Macaca mulatta: one gene and its partners. The protein of the gene in region 2 purifies or fractionates together with the protein of the main gene of each other region. This does not show direct contact. Links are inferred from orthologs where the notes say so. Each region holds a gene or a part of one and is shown on either strand. Other genes may lie near its edges. The genes, in order: MAP3K7, CYLD, RIPK1, SPATA2 and SPATA2L.

Region 1 (3,253 bases), on a different chromosome or scaffold from region 2:
AGACTGTATTTCATAACTGAGTGTTTTTCTAAGGTGTTATAGAAACTGCCTTCCTCCCTTTTTAAAGAAATCCAGTCTAATTTCCTTACTACTACATTCACAGTTCTTAAATATGTATGTATCTTCAGTTTTCTTAAGCATGACCTTCAGGAAGTTTTATACTTAGGAAACTAAATTATTAGTGGTAACTAAAATGAAGTGTTAAGGAAAAAATTTTGGCAACTTTATATATGTATGATAATAGGATTCCCTTCATTAATTTTAATCTAAATAAAAGTTTTTTTTCCTAAATTTGTGAAAAGCTTTCTGTATGTGCTTCAAAAACAAAGAGAGAATAGATTGTTTTATCACAATTTATTGATACAGTGATTTAAATGGAACCAACCTAGTATTTGAAAGGTAAGCCTAAATAGGAAATTAAATACTACAGTCTGGAAATCGTAGAAGTAATTATGGAACTGCTGGCACTTTATGTTGAAAAAGCTCGATTTCTTATTTCACGTATTTAACCTATACTTTTGCCATACTTTAATCATTTGAAAGAAGAATTCTATGCTGGGAAAAAACAAATGGTAGAGTAGGCTGTTGGCTGTGAAAACTGTGACAGTTTTAATTAATTTTAAATACTTTCAGAAATAGTATTAGGTAATTATTTTGCTTAAGGACCTTTTATTATTCATTTATATCCAGTAGCCTCACTTTAGGAAATGCCTAAAGATGCATCTTTTTTGGGAATACTTAATAGTTCCCGAATAAAAGGGACTTAAATAAGTTTATCAGACTATAAAAGAATGAGGGTCTTTCCTGAAAATGCTTGCAAATGTAAGTATTTTAAAAGAAGTGGTACTTTGTAATTTTTCTCACTGCTTTAAAATGGGAAAAAGCTTTAAATTCGATAGCATTTATTTTAATTAGCTTGCAAATTTTCTGTTAGCTTACCACTCTCTACTATAGTTAAGTAGGATTGTGACTTCAGAATGCGAATGAGTATAAAAGTAGAATGTGAATGATAAAAACTTCATGATATTTTCCCATAGCCAGATAGAATCTTTCCCAGCCTTTTTTCATCCTTCCTATACAAAAAGAGGATAGAAAATGAAATTTTCTGAAACTTTTATTTTACCATTTTATCTGCTTCACTATTTATCCAAGTACAGTTACTTAATAAAAGGATTATGATATTTATATGATTACACTAGAAATAGATGAGAGTTCTACCCCAGTCCATAATTATGCTTGAGCAGTGTACCTAAGATGCAAAATGATAAACCCAGAATAAAAATTCTCATTAATTGAGCTTCCATCATCAGCCAGTAAGGTATGAATTTTTCCATCATGTGTAATATTATGTGGTATTTGTTTGTAGGCAAGAACTAGTTGCAGAACTGGACCAGGATGAAAAGGACCAGCAAAATACATCTCGCCTGGTACAGGAACATAAAAAGCTTTTAGATGAAAACAAAAGCCTTTCTACTTACTACCAGCAATGCAAAAAACAACTAGAGGTCATCAGAAGTCAGCAGCAGAAACGACAAGGCACTTCATGATTCTCTGGGACCGTTACATTTTGAAATATGCAAAGAAAGACTTTTTTTAAGGAAAGGAAAACCTTAAAATGACAATTCATGAGTGTTAGCTTTTTGGCGTGTTCTGAATGCCAACTGCCTATATTTGCTGCATTTGTTTCATTGTTTATTTTCCTCTTCTCATGGTGGACATACAATTTTACTGTTTCATTGCATAACATGGTAGCATCTGTGACTTGAATGAGCAGCACTTTGCAACTTCAAAACAGATGCGGTGAACTGTGGCTGTATATGCATGCTCATTGTGTGAAGGCTAGCCTAACAGAACAGAACAGGAGGTATCAAACTAGCTGCTATGTGCAAACATCGTCCATTTTTTCATATTAGAGGTGGAACCTCAAGAATGACTTTATTCTTGTATCTCATCTCAAAATACTAATAATTTTTTTCCCAAAAGATGGTATATACCAAGTTAAAGACAGGGTATTATAAATTTAGAGTGATTGGTGGTATATTATGGAAATACAGAATCTTTGGGGATAGTTCAGTGTAAGGGCTTTGATGCCAGCATCCTTGGATCAGTACTGAACTCAGTTCCATCCGTAAAATATGTAAAGGTAAGTGGCAGCTGCTCTATTTAATGAAAGCAGTTTTACCGGATTTTGTTAGACTAAGATTTGATTGTGATACATTGAACAAAATGGAACTCATTTTTTTTTAAGGAGTAAAGATTTTTAATTCTGTGATTGTGTGTATGTGTGTTGAAACTGTAAAGCTTTTATGACTAATATTAATCTCTTAAATGAAATTAAAAGGCAAAAGAACATGATTGAGCTTAAATGATCATTTCTTCCTGCAATGATTCTTGGATTGTTTTCTCATGTATTTGAAACAAAAAATGAAGAAAAATAATGGAAAATGGAAATTATTGCTCCAGCTAAAAAAGGCTTGGGCTTAAATTTCTTTTTATGATACCAAATGAGGAATAAACCAGGCAAATCAGAAGGAAGTTAAAAAAGTAAATATAAATTCAACAAGTATCCTAACTATCCTGGATATTGAAATATTTGATTTTCCTTACAATCCCATAGAATGCCTGCGGCCTTTCTACACTTTTAAAATAATTTCAACACTTACAGAGTATTTATATTGTTACCAGTAATTTTGCTACCAAAACCTTCAGAATAACTTTAATAATAATATGACATTGAAATAATAGACTATGCAAACTATATTTTTTCAGTTGGTGTTAAAATAAGTCACATTTTGATACCAATACAAGGTGTCTTTCAAACAAGGATGTCATCAATCTGATTTTTATAGCATTAATGTTTTAGGAAGAAAAAGTTCAAAATGAAGGCATTAATTGCTGTGATTATTAGAATTCTGTCATGACCGTATTGCAGTTTTTGCTCTATTTCAGATAAGCAAGATCTAAGAAGTTATCAAAACTATTCTTTAAAATGCTAAAGCAGGTAACTTTTTCTTCCATTATTTTTTCCTCCTACCACTGAGTTTTATAATGAATTCCTTGTGTATACAAGCAATACAGGTGAAGGACAGTTTGTACTAAACTGTTATTTTTAGCTTCTTCAAAAGCTATTTTAGAAAGCTTCCCGGAAATAAATGTCTTCTATCATTTAATTTAAATAAAAGGAGTGTTATTGTTCCCAAATAATTTGATTACCTAGCTGAAACAGATATTGGGTTCAGCATAGTAATAGTAA
Region 2 (4,280 bases):
TGAGATATTCTAATTGTCTATTCCTCAAAATCAATGTGGTTTTCCTCTACTCAGATATTTTCTATAAATGATTTTTATACTAATTATTAAAATATACTAATTATTAAAATGGTAATATAATAGTAATATACTATATTAGTATATAATAATAGTAATAATGTACTAATTATTAAAATAGTAAATATACTAATTATTAAAACCAGATCAGCCATTAAATTGTGTGGAATATCATAAAAAAACATAGATTACCCCAAAAAACTTTTTCAAAATAAAGAAAAATAGGACGTCATGTAATATATGTGCATTTTGTTTTGTTTTGTTTTGTCTACTGGTCAGCTACAATAAGGCAAATTTAAAGATTGAGAACATTACTCCAGTTTATTCAAATGGGAAAAAAAAAAACTAAATGTAATTCTACATCTAGACCCCTGTTCTATTTCAATGCTCCTTTAGCAAAGATAAATTAGAACATGCTCTTTAAAGTATTCCAAATTAGATCATGTTAAATATTCAAAGTGTTCAATTTGCAAGTAAATTGGTCCTAAAACTAATACATATATATATAAACTATACATATATAATATATATGTGTATATATGTTTATGTATATATACAAATATATACAAACTAATACATATATCACAAAGATATTTAATCCAAAAGTTTCTTACCATGTCCACACCAACAAAATATCCTAAGCTTTCTTTTCCTGGCAAAACATCACAGAATATAACTGTTCCAGATTCTATTGTTTCTCCAACCTTCAAAGAAACTCTGGAGTTTATTTCCAAAGGAGGAAGCTCGACCTGCATTGTGTCCACAGGACCTGCATAATCACTTTCCAACGCAGTGTCATCATCTTCTATGAGTTCTAGCTTGTCCAATGCAACAAACACGCCACAGTCTTCATCACACTGAAAAAGCTGTTTCCCTTGGTACACCCCGTCAGTGAAACCTTGGCCACGACCTTCTTCCTAGTTTTTAAGAGAGAGGGGAAAGAAATAGATATAGAAAGACTACTCATAGGGAAGGGGGTTCATTCTAGGGATTTCAGGAAAATCACTCTGGAAAAATTCTAAATGACACATATAATAAATAATATAATTATTAGCAGTCGCTGTTGGATTTAAGGTGTTTAAAAAAATAAGAAAGAAGTTGTATCTGATGCTGAAATATTATCTGATAATTTCAATTCATAACTCTATTATGAAAAAGCTAGGCTGAATTCCACGTTGTGATTCTAACATTAATTTGGTTATGAAAAGAAAATGTTACTTTAAAATAGCAGTAATGTTAGCTCCATTCATTAAGCACTTACTGCCAGCCACTGTGCTAAATCCTGTATCAATGTACCACAAAAATACTACAAGTCATGTACTATTAACACCACTGTACTGGTAAGCACGCAGAATGAGAGAAGTTAAGTAGCTTTGTTAAGTAACCTGGCAACCCAGCTAGTACATGGCTTAACTGGGATTCAAATTCCTAATTGTTTACAATCACTGCTTTAAAAAAAAATTAAATCAAGAAGCAAAGAAGACATGCAATTCTACTGGCAATGTCAAAATGTAACTGGCATTTCAGTTACTGTGAATGAATATTAAGTTTGGAAACATATCACAGCATTCTTGGGTCTCCTTCCAGTAGAAATAAATTCCAAGGATGTTCACATATATTATCAGGGACAATCACAAGCAAGTTTAAATTTCTGCAACTTTTTTTCAAAAATTTTATATCTAAATTGTTATTACTTAATAACATACATTAAGAAGAACTAAGAAACCTACAGATGATAATGCAAGGTAATCAACAACTTTTGATGTAACTATTTACAACTGGTAGTGTTAATGCTTAATATAGGCAATGTTAAAATTTCTAAAATATAAATGCCTGCAATAACCAGGTGAACCTCTTTGTATGTTCCTATCATAGCACATAGCTTTTTAAAACTTTCAACATCATCTTTACAGCATCGCAATTCATCATTAAAAAGTAAACAAAAAAATTAAATCAAGAAGCAAAGAAGGCATGCAATTCTATTTGCAAGAATGGCAAAATATAATTGACATTTAAGTTCTTGAGAAAGAATATTAAGCTTAGAAACATATCACAGAGTTCTTGGGTCTCTTTCCAACAGAAATAAACTCCAAGGTGATTTTCACACATATTATCAGTGATAACTATAAGCAAGTTTTGGATTATGGATTTATCCATAACATGGATTCATCAGCAAGGATGATGAATATTAAAAATTACAGAAGACTCTTGGGAAAATATTTTTGTATTTAAAGGAGAAAAATACGTATGTGCATACAAATACACATAGACACACAAACACAAACACACTACTAAAATGGTTTATCAAACTTACCAGCAATTCAACTCCAAAGAATATTCCAGAGACTGTCCTCTCTGCTAACAGTGGTCCTCTGAAGCGCACAACTCCAGGAAATTTTTCTTCCCCAGATCTCAACTGTACTTTCACAGGGCAGCCCACGTCTATTTGGAGGCCTTTACTTAGTCTGTTTCTGTTTTTAAACAGGCTGAACCTCTCCTCACAATTGGTAATTGCCAAAAGTAACTCTGTGAACTTTTCATTTATCTCTGCAACATCCTTTTCATCAACAAAGAGAACTGCATGAGGTTGCTCTAGAATTTTTAATCCAATCTGATTTTTCTTGCCTTTTGCAGAAGGAATCCTTGAATGCCCCACAGAACGATCTTGAATATACTGTCCTATACTTCCCTTCGGTACTTTAAGGAGCTTTTGTGTTTGTTTGTCTGTAACGCTGCATTCTTGAAGAAGCAAATAAAAAATCCGCTCTTCCCAGTAGGGCGAAGTAACTTTTTCTTGGCTCCATAAGCCTGAACTCATTGTGATATTAACTTCAAAATACTAATTCAAAAAAAGGAAACTACTAATAACTTTGTCATAAAACCGCAAAAAATAAATTCAGTGGCAGTCCCAAAGCATGTTTTCAGCAACGTGGTGTCCATGCTGTAAAAAGAAAGGAAATCTAAATGCCTGCTGAAGAAGCAGAAATAAACTTTAGACTTCATTCTACACGACTGAAAATTAAGACTGAAGACTTTTAAAATTTTCATTTGACCGGTAAACACATATACATAAATGAAATATTTTCAAAAAAACATCTAAAAGAGTTAAAGACATACAGTATATTACTTCTATCTACTGCAAATGTGCATATTTAATTAATGAAATCCAATTGTAAGGTACTTTCAAACACAACACAATAATGTTTGCTTCCAAGACAATGAAATTTATAAAATCAGATTCTAGTAAAAACTTTTAAAGGTTACCCTTATATACATATTCTAATTTTTAAAAAATTTATTTTTATTTATTTATTTATTTTGAGACAGGATCTCACTTTTGTGGCCCATGCTGGACTGCAGTGGCACAATCATGGTTCACTGTGGCCTCGACCTCCCAGGTTCAAGTGATCCTCCTACCTCAGCCTCCCGAGTAGCTGGTATTATAGGCACGTATCACCACACCCAGCTAAGTTTTCTATTTTTTGTAGAGACAGGGTCTCACTATGTTGCCTAAGCTGGTCTTGAACTCCTGGGCTCAAGTAATCCTCCTGTCTTGGCCTCCCACTGCGCTGGGATTACAGTCGTAAGCCACCAGGCCTGGCCCATGTTCTGACACTAATAAACTTTTAAAAGTAGCATTTGGGGCTGGGCTCTGTGGCTCATGCCTATAAATGATAGCTATGATATGGCCATATTTTGATAATGGAACATTTTACCTCTGACTAAACTTCATTTCATATATTTTGTCTGAAGATGGGCAATGTTCATCACATTAATCATAATTATCATCTAATTTCTCAAATCGCAAATATCAGATATTATAATGTGACTATATTACAAATATTTTAAAAATCAATTTTGTAGCATCAAAACTTGTACCACAGAGCAAGAGAATATCATGATATAATTGCATTCTAATTTATTTCTATGATTTCTTTTTCAAATTTTCATTTATTTTATTTATTTATTTATTGAGACAGCATCTTGCTCTGTCACTCAGGCTTGAGTACAGTGGTGTGATGATAGCTCACTGCAGCTTCAAACTCCTGGGCTCAAGTGATCCTCCCGCCTTGGCCTTCCAACGTTCTAGGATTACAGGCATGAGCAACTGCACCTGGTCCTCATTTAAAATTTTTACAAGACTAATAATCTTTCCAATGAAGTAGCCTTATTCTCAAACCTATTTTAACTGATGGTTAAAAAACTACACAATTTCATTAATT
Region 3 (4,931 bases), on a different chromosome or scaffold from region 2:
CACCGTGTTGGCCAGGATGGTCTCGATCTCCTGACCTCGTGATCCACCTGCCTCAGCCTCCCAAAGTGGTGGGATTACAGGCGTGAGCCACTGCGCCTGGCCCATTTTGGCAATTTCTTAACCAAGCTCTTCTTACCATAAGATGAAGCAACTCCACACCTTGATATCTACCCAAATGAGTTGAAAGCTTACGCCCAAACACCTGTACAAGAATGTCTATAGCAGCTTTATTCATAATTGCCAAAACTTCAGGGCATCTAAGATGTCATTTAATAGGTGGACAGATAAGCTGTGGCACATCTATACAATGGAATATTAAGGCTCAAAAGAAATGAGCTCTGAAGCCACAAAAAAAAAAATTCTGGAGCAATCTTAAATGTATAAATCTAAGTGAAAGAAGCCAATCTGAGAAGACTACATAATGTATGATTCCAACTATGTGACATTCTGGAAAAGGAAAAACTGTGGAGATAGTAAAAAAGATTAGTGGTTGCCAGGGATTTGCAGGGAAGGAGGGATAGGTAGGTGGAGCACAAGGGATTTTTAGGGCAGTGGAATCTGATATTACAGTGTTGGGTACATCTCATTATACATTTGTCAAATGTATCTTGAATATACACAAAGAGCAAAACCTAACAAGCTCTGGACTTTGACTGATAATGTATATGTTTTATCCATATTGGTTCATTTTTATAACCGTGTATCTATGTTGGTTCATCAGGTGTAACAAATACCCCACACTAATGCAGGATGTTGATGGTAGGGGAGGCTATACAGTCCAGGATGTTTGTGGGAGGGGATATTTTCTTTCTGCTTTGTTTTGCTGTAAACTAAAACAGCTCTAAAAGTCTATTCATTATTTTTTAAAAGATGTATACATACCAAAAAAGACGAAAGGCAGAGCTATTCACTCAACAAAGCTTTCTACTGTATGCCAAATAGGTACTAGATACAAGAGTATCTGGTGATAGATACAAGAGATACAAAAAGGAATTCATTCCTTCAATAAATATTTACTGAGCATCTGTTCTAGGCAGTGAAGCCTCGGTTGTGAATTAAACATAAAAAATCTCTGTTCTGGCTGTGTGGAGTGGCTCCCACCTGTAATCCTAGCACTTCGGGAGGCTCAGTCGGGTGGATTGCCTGAGCTCAGGGGTTACGGACCAGCCTGGCAAACATGATGAAGCTAAAAATACAAAAATTAGCTGGGCGTGGTGGCGCACACCTGTAGACCCACCTACTCAGGAGGCTGAGGTGGGAGAATTGCTTGAACCCAGAAGGTGGAGGTTGCTGTGAGCCAAGATTGCACCACTGCACTCCAGCCTGGGTGACAGAGCAAGACTCCGTCTCAAAAAAAAAAAAGGATAAATAAATAAAAATCTCCGTGTTCCATTTGTGGAACTTGCATTCTAATGGGGAAGACAAAAAGTCATTGCCCATCACTGTCCTCTGGACATCATGTGATCTTGGAAGATTGGAAATGCATTGTTTTTGCTTCATTTTGTTTTCAGTGCTCTAACTCAGAAACATCTATTTGGGAGCTTTACTCATTACTCCCAGCAAAAGCCATGAGTGTAGATGGTACATGAGACGAAGGAACTGGTCCTTGCAGAACACCAGAATGGAAAAGGCAAGAAACAGCCCAAGGTGAGGAAGGAAAACCAGCGAGAACAAAGAGCTAGTACTACCTCTGAAGCTAGTGGAAGCCAAAGTGTGAATGTGAGGGGGTGGGTCTCTTCGCCACAGGTCTGAAACCAAATGAACCCCCACCCCCAGGCTGCAGTTCCCAGTGCCCTTGGAAATGAGACCCTCACTCCTCCAGGTGAGCCTGGGAGACCTCCCTGACCCCTTTCCATCCCCCTCGTCCCCCACACCCATCCCCAAGGCCTGCCCTCTACGCCCACATTTCGCCCACATTTCTTTCCACTTCGGATCCTGTGCCTGGCCTAATGCGCAGGCCCCCTCCCGAGCCTCTGCTCACCTTAGAGCCACTCCTCACTGTCGGGACACCTCATGTGTGCTCCCCAAAACGCCACGCAAAGCACTGGAGAGCCTTGGACAATGAAGACAACCCGCTTCCCTCAGCCACCACCATGCCACAGCCACACAACATCCTCAGAAAGCGGTGTCTTAATCCTCTTGGCCTTCCTCCTAAATCTCCCAGAACCCTTAGGATCCGCTCAAAGCCACCTTGTTAAAACGGTTTCTTCTCCACCTGCCCCCTCCCTTGATCCAGCCTCGCTCAGGTCACAGCCTCCACCTCTGGCCATCCTGAACCCCTCCCAAAGTCACCTCTTCACAAACTCCTGGTCCCCCTTACAAGGCCCCATGTCCATCACGGGATTAATTCTACTCACCCTCAAACACCGCGGCCTGGAGGCTTGATTCCCACCCTAAAGGAGGTTCCCTTGACCCCGCCGGCGCAACCCTCCCCAGCACGACCGTTCGTCCCGAAGGTGACTCCTCATCTTGCTGGCGGTCCCCACAGACCGCAGGCCCTGCAGGCGACGGCTGAGCCTGGCTTCGCGGATTCACAGTCCCTGGAAATATGCTCCGGGGAAGGACGGGCCCCATCCGTTTCGCTGAATTATTGAAAGAATTAGGATGGGTAAGAGTGCTCGGATTTGGAACTGGAGACTGGTGACTTTGAAAGAGAAGTACCGGGACAGACGTCATCCTGCGGATCCCAGAGCAGAGAGGAGCAGTGAGAAAACAGGGCTGGCAGGTGGGGAGGGGCTGCAGGGGAGAGCTTCGGCCAGAGAAGGGCAGCGAGGAGGCGTGGGGGAGGGCGGCGTCCGCGCTGGCGGGGAGCTGCGGAGGCGGAAACCGGCTGCGCGCTGCAGGGGACCCCCCAGAGACCGTTCCTGACCCGCCGAGACACCACCGCTTCCCCGGGGCTCTTGGATGAGCGACCTCTCCTGTCCTCAGGTCTCATCTTTCGGTGGCAGCCGGGGGACCTGAAGCTCGCCATTCCCGTTCCCGACCCCGGCCCAGCGCGGGGACGCCCTCACCTGCCACCTCGTCTCCGTGCCGCGCTCCGAGCCTGGACGCCGATCCCCAGGGCCCAAGACGTGACTCTGCTGCTGCTGCTGCTGCTGCTGTCGCCGCGGACTCCCGCTCGGGCCTTGGCGGGCACCGCCTTTTAAACTGTCTGGGATTGTTAGGCTCCTCCCATACTTGACAAGCCGCCTGACTGGGGCTGCGCCTGCCGGGACTATCCTGGGAGGCGCGCGCGTTCGCGCGGTGGCGGAGGGCAGGGCTAGGAACATGGGAAGGTCAGGGTCCCCCCAGTTCGCCCCGCCCAGGGCGAAGTCCGCGAATGTTCCCGCCGGTCTGAGGTCAGCCAGGTTCCCGAGGCGCGCACCCAGCCTCGCCACCCGCAGCGCCCTGCGCGGGGACGCCCGCACCTACCGCCTGGTCCAGCGCCGCCGCCGTTTCCGTGCCGCGCTCCGAGCCTGGACGCCGATCCCGGAGGCGCAGGACCCGGCCCTGCTGCTGCGCTCGCCGCGGACTCCCACTAGGGCCTTTGCGGACACCGCTTTTATACCGCAGGATCGGGCGCCCCCCCCCCCCCGCCCCGCTTTCTGCCTTCAGGCGGAGCCTGGCGGGACCAGCGCGTGGTGGCCGAGGTCAGGGCTAGGGGAAGGGGCAGGCCAGGGTCCCCCAGTCCTCCCGGCCCAGGGCGAGGTCCGCGAATGCTCCCGCCAGCCTGAGGCCAGCCAGGTTCCCAAGGCGCGCGCCCGGCCTCGGCCACCGGCAGCACCATGGCCGCTTCGGGATCGGGTTCTGAACCCAGAGAAGTTCTGAGCCCAGAGAAGTGGGTGGGAGCCTGCGGGGCCCAGGGCCTCCGCGCCAAGAAACAAGGGGTCTGCGGGAAAGGAGACAGAGCCTGGAACCCTGGGCTTTTCTACCTCAGGAAGCGAAGTCGGGTGACAGCCAAGCTCCATGTTCCAGTGGGAAGGCCCCATGGGTCTGTGTTCCACGCCTCTTGTCATGAATATGAGGGATTCACTTAGAAGCAAAGCATTAGTTCCAGGTCCCACCACTAACTAGTACCATTTGTTCCAGGTCCCACCACTACCTAGTACCATTTGTTCCAGGTCCCACCACTAACTAGTACCATTTGTTCCAGGTCCCACCACTAACTAGTACCGGTCCCGGGCCCAGAACCAGGCTCCTCACTCCTGGCGCCCGAGCCCCTCTCCAGCCACAGGTGCTTGGGCTGCGGTGCGGTGTAAGCAGCCCCATTTTCCCGCGAAGTGATGGGAAGAGACACTGAGTCACATGGGCTCCGGACACTCCTTGTGTCCTCTCTCGGGGGTCCAGAGGCAGGGACTCGGGGGAGTTGATGCAGCAGTTCGTAATGTCACCAGATATCCCCCCCACCCCGCTCCATCCTAGGCTGGACGCAATTGGAAGCATTTCATGTCGGCACGGTGACGTCCAGAGGAAGAGAACGGACCAAATGCCTCTCTCTGGAGCACCGAGTGTCTCCCAGAAGCCGTGTCCTCCTGTTGCGAACTGACCAGAATTAGGGCTTTCTCCTGAGGGCCTGAATTAGGGAGAGCCAGGTGCCTAAGGCACAACATTTCAGGAGGGCCACACTCATAGGTGCCAGCCCTGCATTTGCGTGGCCCTGAGAATCAGAGCCTCCTTCAATTTTATACCCTAGGTGCCTAGCTTGTTTTTTTAATTAACACCCTTATTAAGGTTGGGTAGGTGGTTCACGCCTGTAATCCCAGCATTCTGGGAGGCCAAGGTGGGCAGATCACGATGTCAGGAGTTCTAGACCAGCCTGGCCAACGTGGTGAAACCTCGTCTCTACTAAAAATACAAAAATTAGCCGGGCATGGTGGCGCATGCCTGTAGACCCAGCTACTCAGGAGGCTGAGGCAGGAGAATCACTTGAACCCAGAGGCAGAAGTTGTAGT
Region 4 (4,959 bases), on a different chromosome or scaffold from region 2:
TCGTATCAAAGTATGTATGTGCTCTATGTTCATACTGTTCTGTCCATAAAAAAATAAACAATTTAAAATGTATATTCTCTTAAAAAATAAAAATGTAGGCCAGGTGCGGTGGCTCATGCCTGTAATCCTAGCACTCTGGGAGGCCAAGATGGGTGGATCGCCTGAAGTCGGGATTTTGAGACCAGCCTAGGCAACATAGCAAAACCCCATCTCTACTAAAAATACAAAAATTAGCTGGGCGTGGTGGCGAACGCCTGTAATCCCAGCTACTGAGGAAGCTGAGGCAGGAGAATGGCATGAACACGGGAGGAGAGGCTGAAGTGACCTGAGATCGTGCCATTGCACTCCAGCCTGGACAACAGAGCAAAAACTCCATCTCTACATAAAGAAATGTATTTTGCAACACTGGAGAGGATAGTCACACATGCATTTACCATTCTTGACTTAGAGAAGCTGCAATCACGCCTCTGGCCCCAGGGCTTGTTTTCTGGTAGCCTGAGAACCATTCAAACACAGAGACATTAAGTTTCTGAATACTGCTGTAATTTTTTTCCAAGGAAGTCAGCCTTGAACTCAAAGAGACTGATTTTTTACAAAGTCAGCCAGTCGCAAGCTCGGCTCAGCGTATGCTGCTCTATAATCGCACCACAGTCCACACCCTTGTTTGTTGCTGAAAAACAATAAATAAAGCAAAGGGATCCAAACAGCCCAGCTGATGTTCAAAATCTGAACAACAAGGACAGGAAGTCCAAAATATCTAAAACAAATCTCCAAACAACCTGGGTAGGTGAGGGAAAAGGCGGAAGAAAGTAAAAGCTAAAAGATAATTAAGGGCAAGACATGCCTGGACAACATAGACTCCATCTCTACAAAAATAATAATAATAATAATTATTATTATTATTATTAGGTGGGTGTGGTGACATGCACCTATAGTCTTAGCTACTTGGGAGTCTGAGGTGGGGGGATCCACTGAGCCCAGGAGTTTGAGGCTGCAGTGAGCTATGATGGCACCACTGCACTCCAGCCTGGGTGACAGAGCAAGATTCTGTCTCAATCAGTCAGTAAGGAAAGGAAAGAAAGAGACTAACAATTACTGAGGTCCTACTATGTGCTAAGTATTGGGCTTCCCACTTTACCTACATCATCCCATTTAATCCTCACAACTCTATAAGGAAAACAGGCTCTCCCATTAAAACAACCTGTCCAACAGAGTTTGAAAGGATCAGAGCTGGAATCTGAACTCTTGTTGGCAGGCCCTGATGCCTGGGGCTTTCTCCAATTTATCTCACTCATTTATTGTTACATCAGTACCATTTACCAAGGGATTACTGTGTGGCAGCTCTCTGCTAACTGCTCTATGAAAAACAATGAAATCCATAGGATAGATCCAAGGTTAAAGAGGAAACTGAGGCTCGGAGAGGCCAACTCACTTACCCTAAGTCATAAGGCTAGGAAGAAGTGGCTCTGAGCTCTGAACCTAGGTCTAATGCCAAAACTCTGACTCTTGCAAAGCCATCCTGCTGCATCTGCTGGACAGCTCTACTCGAAAGTGTCTGGCTAAGTTAGAATGCCTTATGGCGGCGCGAGCAGAGTTGAGTTACAAAAATTCCTGTAGTAGCAAAATTCCCATCTTCCCACACCGAATGGGGCTAGGAGAGCTAATCTCTATATGATGTAAGCTCAAGGGCCGAGGAAAGAGGCTGGCCGGAGACATCGGCCAGTGATGAAGCAGCTGACATCATCCCTGCTGAAAACATTTTCTGAGAATACAAGATGCCTTGTAGCTGGTCATAGCTGGTGTTTTTTCTGAGCACAGAGCCAGCAATTCATTCCCAGCACTCTGCAAGAACAACAAAATACGCTCTCTGCAAAAACATCGTGGTTACAGGAGACCGAGACAGCCCAACGACAGAAGCTGTTAATTTCTCCAAGCAACCCAAGGATTGGAACGCCAAGCCGTGCCAGTCTGGTGGGAGAAAAAAAAAAAAACCCAAAAGACAAAAAAACAGCACTGTGAATATCCTGAACATAGAGGCAGGCAGGTGCCCAGAGTCAACAGCTCCAGTCAGCACCTCCTGAACCCACAATCTAGGCACCCTCTTGAAAAGCAAGTCAATGGAAAGAGAGATATTGCAGTCAGGGAGGCAGTGGCTTATTTAGTTATTTTCTAAACATCTAAGAGGAAAGCTGTATCTGTTTAGACTCCCACTGCATGGAAGTGAAGTGATTCCGAGTAACAAAGCATTCGCTTGGCTTTACCTCAGCTGGCCCATTCAAGCAGAAATGTTCCCCAAGCAGTATTTGAAGGCGCCCCCTCTCTGCACAGGCAGAGCTATTTTGGTCTGTGCACTGCCCCTGTCCACAGGTTTACACATCCCTGGTCTAGCTCCATCAGCCTCCAAACAGCAGACGAGGAAGTCAGTTCAACCCCCTCCACCTCCCCACCCACACCAATGCACTCGTTCCAAGCAAGAGGCTCCGAGACACATCCAAGGCACCTTCCACGGGCTGTGAAACACCAGAAGGTCCCCACACTCCTACTAGATTCCAAAGAAATTCACACAGAGTCCTTCCAAACCTCTGAAAATAACCTCAGCGGTGCCGAAAGAAGCTTCCCTAGTGGCAGCTGCCTCTGAAGGAAGCTGTTTCCCTCCCTGCAAGGGACAGAAGCTGGCGGCTGCTAAGTCCCAGCTCGGTCATTCCTACAGCCTCGGGGGGCCACGTCAGTTGTGAAAAACAGCCCAGTCTCAAATTCTGGCCCTCCCCACGGGTTCGTGAATTGAATGAAGTAACAGGAACTATCACTTACTGGACGCCTGCTGTATGCCAGGGGCCCTGCATGATCTCATTCCATCTCTACTCCAGCCCTAGCAACCAGGTTCAATCACACTTAAACAGGCAACTGAGGCTCTTAAGATGAAGTGACTTATCCAAGGTCACACAGTGAGTACAAACCCAGGTGTGCCGCCAGAGAGTCTGAACTGGGAACCCCTGCGCAGTAACCGCCTCGTGGCGAAATCGGGGTGTCCTTCTGTTTGGCCAGTCGCCGAAGAGAGGGTGCTCCTCTTGAGCGGCCCTGAGCCACCCTCGGTGGGTTCCAGGAGCTTACAAGGCAGCTCCCAGGAGAATGGGGATCCTGAGGATAGGCTGGGGGTCCCGGGAGCGCCGAAACAACGGGCCCACCTGTAGTCCTGCCTGACGTGAGGGGACCCCGCTCACGGGCCAGCAGAGCCCTGCCGCTGTCTGGCGCCCCCTCCACCTGGGGAAGCCCCGGACACAGTTTCCGCTCGCGGCCGCCCGTCACTCACCCTGACACTGCCGCCGAGGGCTGCCCGGCCGAGGGAAGCAAGCGGGAGGCGCGGCTGCCGCCGGAGCCGGGCCCCACTGGGCTCTAGCCGCTCCGGCCGGCTGCAGGGGTACTGAGACCAGTACCCGCGGGCCAGCAGCGACCCGGAAACACTCGGCCCGGAAGTGAAGTCGCCAGGAGGCGGGTCCGAAGAGAGGGTGGACCACGGCTGCGCGCTGGCTCCGGGAAGCGGTCGATGCCCGCGGCCGACGGAGACTACAAGCCAGAGGCCGAGAACAAAGCGGAAGGCCGAAGAACGAGGACGAAAGCGGCGGAACGGCAGTTTGGAGCCTAACGAGCCATCGTCGCGTCTGGAGCTAGGACCCGGAAGTAAACAGGCCGGACGTGACGGAAGCCACTCGGTTTAGGGATGGTGGCTGGCCGGGTTGTCATGGAAACCGCTACGGAGCCTGGAGCTGCATTCATGACTCCGCACAAGCAAGCAGGGGCTAACGGTCGGATCCCTCGCCCCCATTGTACGAACAGAAATACTGAGGCTCAAAGAGAGCCAGTGAGACGCTGAAATCACGCGTGATTGGAATCCAGCCTTGCTAGGGCTGTCGGTGTTACGGGCTGTGGGCGACGGTTAAGAGCGTGGGTCCCATTTTTAGCTTTGCCACTTACTAGCTGTGTGACCTTGGACAAGTTACCTAACCTCTCTGAGTCTCAGCTTTATAACCTGTAAAATTAATAAAGCCAGGCGTGGTGGCACGCGACTGTAGTCCCAGCTACTCGTGAGGCTGAGGCGGGAGGATCGCTTGATCCAAGGTGTTCGAGACCAACCTGGGCAACATAGCAAGGCCATGTCTCTTAAAAAAAAAAAAAAAAAAAAAAAAAAAAGCCGGGCACGGCGGCTCACGCCTATAATCCCAACACTTTCAGATAAATTATATATATATAAAATATATATAAATATAAAATATATATATAAAATCTGACATCCCCACCAGACCCTGAGCTTCTTATTCATCTGTTTCCCCCCAAGCTCCGCACATGTCTGATGAGGAGGCACACAATAGATGTTCATTGATTGTAGGATTCTCACTCTGAGTCTCGGTGACCCCAGCTAAAACCGGTGGGCCTTGTGTGATGAATCAGTGACTTTAATACTGGGAAACGTTTGGAGAACCAGCAATCTGCTGTCCAAACAGTAGCATTACTGTGTTTACCTGTAATTGCCTGAGCACCGCTCAAGGTCCCTGTGTTCTTTATCAGCTCATGTTTAAGCTCCTCTCTTCATTATCTGCAACGTGATAATGTTCACAGGAATTTCATCTGAGACAAACTGTCCCACCTTAAGTCTGCCTTTACAACAACTCAACACTCTGGTTTGGTAGCTCTTACAATATTGCATTTTCACGTGGGACTGCTAAAAAAAAAAAAAGTCCCCTCCAGCTCTGTGGGTCTGTGACAGCCAAAAGAGAAACAAAGATTTTGAAGAAGGGCTTTACCAGTAGGAAACCCTGGTCATCGAAACTTGGTGACATCTACTATCAGAAAAGACCCAAAGTCTCCAAAGAAAGTCACATTTCTCATCTTTTTTTTTTTTTTTTTTAAAGATGGAGTCTCGTTCTGTCACCCAGGCTGAAGTGCAATGGCACGATCTCAGCT
Region 5 (5,018 bases), about 39 Mb from region 2:
CCCTTCAGCACGTGCACGTAGCCCCCGGAAAATGTCTGCAAGGGAGCGGCCCGGTCAGTGCTGCCCACCCTCCCATAGGCCGGACCCTAGGATACAGTGGGTCCGGGATCTGTCCGCTCAGGCCTTGGCAGCTTCTGATGCTCAGGCCCAACCCCAGAGACTAGGCTTAGTCAGTCTGGGCCAGGCCCAAACACGAGAATTTGTTGTTGTTGTTGTTGTTGTTTTGAGACAGAGTCTCAAAAGTGCAGACCACTGGTGCACTGTCTGGAGTGCAGTGGTGCAATCTCAGCTCACTATAACCTCTGCCTCCCAGGTTCAAGCAATCCTCCTGCCTCGGCCTCCCGAGTAGCTGGGATTACAGGTGCACGCCACCACGCCCCGCTAATTTTTGTATATTTAGTAGAGACGAGGTTTCACCATGTTGACCAGGAAGGTCTTAATCTCTTAACCTCATGATCCCCCCCGCCCCCCTGCCTTGGCCTCCCAAGTGCTGGAATTACAGGTGTGAGCCACCACGCCCGGCCGAATTTCTTAAAATTTAATGGAAAAAACAACTAATACATTAACCTGGCTCACGAATCAGAACAAACTAAAGAGCTTACTGAGAAATTCCACTGTTCTGGGTTCCCACCACTCCCTTCACCCGTGGAGATGGCCTAATCTAGTTTTGAATGTATTTGCCCATACAGATTTTGTTTGCCCCTCTTATGAGGTAGCCCACCCCCGTTTTTTTTCACCTCTTTTCTTTGTAAGGTTTCTAACCAAAGCTAGACAGGTAGCCTCTTAAACGTGTTGTTCTGAACTTTGTTCTTTTCCATTATATTCTAGAAGATCAGGACGGAAGCTGTAGCATTCATTTCCCCTGCTGTGTAGTATTCCACCACGGGGGTGTAGCATCTGTTTTCAGAGCCCTACAGAGGCTGTCTGTGCACTGGGCTGACAGCCATGGGATAGCAGAAGGGTGAGTGCTTTTTTTTTCTTCTTTGAGACGAAGTCTCGCTCTGTCACCAGGCTAGAGTGCAATGGCACAATCTCGGCTCACTGCAACCTCCACCTCCCAGGTTCAAGTGATTCTCCTGCCTCAGCCTCCTGAGTAGCTGGGGTTACAGGCGCCACCACCACACCCGGCTAATTTTTGTTTTTTTTTTTTTTTTTTTGGAGACGGAGTCTCGCTCTGTTGCCCAGGCTGGAGTGCAGTGGCCGGATCTCAGCTCACTGCGAGCTCTGGCTTCCGGGTTCATGCCATTCTCCTGCCTCAGCCTCCCGTGTAGCTGGGACTACAGGCGCCCGCCACCACGCCTGGCTAATTTCTTTTTATATTTTTAGTAGAGACGGGGTTTCACCGTATTAGCCAGGATGGTCTCGATCTCCTGACCTCGTGATCCGCCTGTCTCAGCCTCCCAAAGTGCTGGGATTACAGGCGTGAGCCACCGCGCCCGGCTAATTTTTGTATTTTTTAATAGAGATGGGGTTTCACCATGTTGGTTAGGCTGGTCTCGAACCCCTGGCCTCATGATCCGCCCACCTCGGCCTCCCAAAGTGCTGGGATTACAGGCGTGAGCCACCGCGCCCGGCCAAGGGTGAGTGCTTTCTAGCCTACAGTTAAGTGAAGAACTAAAGGAACCTCAGGACAATCACTGCGAGCGTCTCCTGACTAAAATTCCCTAACTCAGGCACTCCCAGCATCTAATGGCATGACACGGCCCATGTGTGGAACACCCAGGGCCTGCAGCACTCAGCTCGGGGCTTCGATTCATTCCTCTGGCCCCATGAACTGGACTGTTCTTGTGTCCCTGTCTCAGGGGAGGAAAGGGGCTGAGATTAGCTAACTTGGCCAAGGCCTCGAGGCCAGGAGGCAGCAGGACTAGGTCCAAACCAGGGCTGCCCAGCACTGAAGCCGGTTATTCCCCTGCCCTGCCCCGCTGGGAGGCCTCAAGGGCGGGCCTGTCCGTCTCTCTCATGAATGAGAGTCCTGGCCCCTCCGACCAGCAGGTGTCCCCGGGGAGCCGCGGAGAGACGGCCGCTGCCATGGCAACCGGCGGAGGCGTAGCTCGCCCACGTGCGCAGTAACGTCATCGGCTTCCTACTCTTCCGAATTAGCTCAGAGCTCCCGGCGGCCCTGCCCCCTCCTGCCGCCAGGAGCTCACCTAGAGGGGCCAGGCCAGCCATAGGGCACAGCCTCCAGCCCTGGGCACAGCCTCCGGCCCCAGGCCGAGGAGTTCACTAGGTCTGTGCCAGCCCTGAGACTTCACAGGGATGCACCCATCTGCTGTCCTCCTCTGCAAATGGGATTGGCCCATATCCTAGAGGAACTAGGATGACCACGAGACCTCAAATCCCTTCTGTGCCCCTGTCCTAATATTTCCATGGCAACTGGAGCCGCGAGGCCTCTTAGGGAAGACACTGACGCAAGCTCTCAGGGCAGGACCCCGTAGGCAGCACCCAGCCTGCCCTCGCCCACCCCATGATCTCAGCCCTAGGAGTGGGTGCCCCCACACGCCCACGACCCCTCAGCGCTCGGAGCCTTGAGAAGCCCACCGGGCACTGAGGATACCTCTCCCCCGAAAGGCGTGGTCCCCCACAGTCGACGGCCCCGCGACCCGCAGGCCAGGACGAGGGGCGCGCTCCTCCTGACCTCCGCCTACCTTGATGGTGGTGAACTCCTTCCTCCAGGGCAGCAGGTACAGGTGCACCGCGGCGAGTTCCAGCAGCTCGAAGGCGCGGGCCAGGCCGCGCAGCGCGGGCGCCAGGTCGGCGCGGCCCCACAGCCCGTCGGTGAGCAGCGCCAGCGCGTCGTCCTGCAGCGCCCCGTGCAGGTCGAAGTCCTCCACCAGGATCTGCCAGAGCACCGCGCGCAGCGAGGGGTCCCCGCACACGCCCGCGCGGCCCCGTCGCAGCTCGCGCTCCAGGCACAGGCGGTAGTCCTCGGACAGCGAGCTGCTGCCCATCCTGCGGGGGGCGGGGGTCAGGGACCTACGGCCGCGCCCCGCCAGCCGCTCTCTCCCCGGGCCCCCACCCAGCGTCCCCAGGACCCCTCGAGCCTGGAGACCCCCCCCCACCGGCTGGGCGCCCCCGGTACCTTCGGCACCCCCTACCCTGGAGACCTCGGCCCCATCAGCTGTCCGCCCACCCAGCGATCCAGGTCCCTCCAGCCGGGCGCCCCCGCACCTCCAGCCCCTCCCTCCAGCCTGGGTACCTCGGCCTTCCAGGGGCGCCCCCGGTTATCGACCGCACCCTTCTCTAGACACGCGCTTCCGCCCGTTGAGCCCTCTCCCGACCAGAGTCCCTTCGCCCGGCAGACAGAGCTGCGGACCCCGCGGGCGACGGCGCTACCTGTCTGTCCCCAGCGCTCTCCAGCCGCCGCCGCTCAGTTCGGGCCTCCCCGCGCGCCGCGCGCTTCCGCCGGGAGCCGGCTCCGCCCGGGGTCCGCGGCCGTGACGCTAGGGGCGGGGCTTGGCACAGGCCCCGCCTCTGGCTAATTTAGGAGGGCGGGGCCTGTGCGCCTGGGCGGGGCCTGGTGGAAGCAAGGGAGGAGGCGGCGTCCCGCCCGGCCGAGCACCTGCGCGAGGCACCCCGAGAGCCTCCTGTCACCGCGTCGCCCGTCCCCTTACGGGACCGATATCGTTCACGACGCCCCTGGGTCGAGGGCTGCGGGCTCATGGCAGGCGCTCAGTGAACGTTGTGCCTGGGCCGCTCCTCCCCACGAGACGGGGACCCAGCCCCGGGCGCCTCGGCCGCGAGGAAGCAGGTGCGCGGGCTCGTCCCCTGTGGGGCGGGGCCGCAGGCATTACCTGACGGGGATTGGCTGGATCCTGGGAAGAGCCGTCCTGTGGGGCGGGGCCACCTGCACTACCTGGCGGGGATTGGCCGGACCCGGGGGCGGGCCTCCCCTGTCGGGCGGGGCCATCCCCTTGCGGGAGGGGCCCGCGGCGAGGAAGGTGGGCGCAAGGACAAGCCTTTCAGCCTCGTCTGAAACAGCAGCCTCAGGTGGGTGCGGGGACCTCAGATTCTATTTCTGCTGGCTCCGCTTCCCGGCCTCCTCCTGCACTTGCCATCTGCCGCCCTTGAGAGCATCGTCTGGGCGGGTCTCTGAGGCAGGGCGAAGCCGCCCCCTCTCTAAGCTAAAAGCTGACCTGGGCCCCGGATCCATCCAGGCTAAATCTGGGCCACGGCTTCCCGGGGACGTTTTCTTCGCTCGGGTTCCTCTGTTCTGTGCTAAAGGCACTTTCTCGCATTGCCCAGAAGTAGAGGAGGATGAGGGAGACCCTTGGAGGTCCCAGCCGAGACACCCCCACCCCACACCCCCGCTTTGGACAGGCTCTGCTCCTTCACGTCTGTGTCCCTCACCTCTCCAGGCCACCAAAACCAAGGCCCAAGTTTGTTGAAACTTTCTCTGGGCCTGGGCGGCGAGGTCCCCGATTTTTCTTAGAATTTTTATTTGGCAGTTAGTTCCCTGCTGGCATCTTAGAAATATTGTGATCGTGGAGCGGTGGCTCATGCCTGTAATCCCAGCACTTTGAGAGGCCGAGGCAGGCAGATCATCTGAGGTCGGGAGTTCGAGACCAGCCTGGCTAACATGGTGAAACCCCGTCTCTATTAAAAATAAAAAAATTAGCCAGGCGTGGTGGCTCATGTCTGTTATCCCAGCTACTTGGGAGGCTGAGGCAGGAGAATTACTTGAACCTGGGAGGCGGAGGTTGTGGTTGTAGTGAGCCAAGATTGCGCCACTACACTCCAGCCTGGGCGACAGGAGACTCTGTCTGCAAAAAAAAAAAAAAAAATTGTAATGGAGTCGGTGGATCTCCCTATGTAGGTGGCCACCTCTGGACAGGGAGTTCTTTTACTTACAGTTTACTGAACCCAGCCTTGGTGTCCAGTGCCACCATGAGTCCACACCAGTTCTCGGGGCAGCTAACTTCGTAAGCCTCAACTCCTTTATTTTATTCTTCTTCTGATGCGGAGGAGGGTGGAGGTAACTGCTCTGCCTTCGTCCTCCCTGAATTTGGTGGCACCAGCCC

What was found.
Region 1: the proteins of CYLD (region 2) and MAP3K7 purify together in Homo sapiens (affinity purification with western blotting; 4 studies listed by BioGRID, with this or other methods). This does not show direct contact. The link is inferred for Macaca mulatta from reciprocal best matches to the Homo sapiens genes CYLD and MAP3K7.
Region 3: the proteins of CYLD (region 2) and RIPK1 purify together in Homo sapiens (affinity purification with western blotting; 5 studies listed by BioGRID). This does not show direct contact. The link is inferred for Macaca mulatta from reciprocal best matches to the Homo sapiens genes CYLD and RIPK1.
Region 4: the proteins of CYLD (region 2) and SPATA2 purify together in Homo sapiens (affinity purification with western blotting; 10 studies listed by BioGRID and IntAct, with this or other methods). This does not show direct contact. The link is inferred for Macaca mulatta from reciprocal best matches to the Homo sapiens genes CYLD and SPATA2.
Region 5: the proteins of CYLD (region 2) and SPATA2L purify together in Homo sapiens (affinity purification with mass spectrometry; 3 studies listed by BioGRID and IntAct, with this or other methods). This does not show direct contact. The link is inferred for Macaca mulatta from reciprocal best matches to the Homo sapiens genes CYLD and SPATA2L.

The regions. Positions count from the first base shown.
Region 1 is NC_133409.1:95,450,027-95,453,279, forward strand, and holds the end of MAP3K7 (mitogen-activated protein kinase kinase kinase 7), read left to right. Parts: intron 1-1,366; coding exon 1,367-1,547; 3' UTR 1,548-2,435; downstream 2,436-3,253. UniProt on the Homo sapiens protein: Serine/threonine kinase which acts as an essential component of the MAP kinase signal transduction pathway. Plays an important role in the cascades of cellular responses evoked by changes in the environment.
Region 2 is NC_133425.1:46,201,599-46,205,878, reverse strand, and holds part of CYLD (ubiquitin carboxyl-terminal hydrolase CYLD), read right to left. Parts: intron 3,029-4,280; exon of another isoform or gene 3,026-3,028; 5' UTR 2,876-3,025; coding exon 2,372-2,875; intron 975-2,371; coding exon 672-974; intron 1-671. UniProt on the Homo sapiens protein: Deubiquitinase that specifically cleaves 'Lys-63'- and linear 'Met-1'-linked polyubiquitin chains and is involved in NF-kappa-B activation and TNF-alpha-induced necroptosis.
Region 3 is NC_133409.1:180,192,269-180,197,199, forward strand, and holds the start of RIPK1 (receptor-interacting serine/threonine-protein kinase 1), read right to left. Parts: upstream 3,270-4,931; coding exon 3,012-3,269; exon of another isoform or gene 2,929-3,011; intron 2,812-2,928; exon of another isoform or gene 2,678-2,811; coding exon 2,662-2,677; exon of another isoform or gene 2,489-2,661; intron 2,282-2,488; exon of another isoform or gene 1-2,281. Other genes in the region: uncharacterized protein LOC144340588, read left to right, coding at 3,268-3,807. UniProt on the Homo sapiens protein: Serine-threonine kinase which is a key regulator of TNF-mediated apoptosis, necroptosis and inflammatory pathways.
Region 4 is NC_133415.1:102,751,573-102,756,531, forward strand, and holds the start of SPATA2 (spermatogenesis-associated protein 2), read right to left. Parts: upstream 3,340-4,959; 5' UTR 3,311-3,339; intron 1-3,310.
Region 5 is NC_133425.1:85,142,302-85,147,319, forward strand, and holds the start of SPATA2L (spermatogenesis-associated protein 2-like protein), read right to left. Parts: upstream 3,397-5,018; 5' UTR 3,334-3,396; exon of another isoform or gene 3,197-3,333; intron 2,950-3,196; 5' UTR 2,949-2,949; coding exon 2,646-2,948; intron 36-2,645; coding exon 1-35.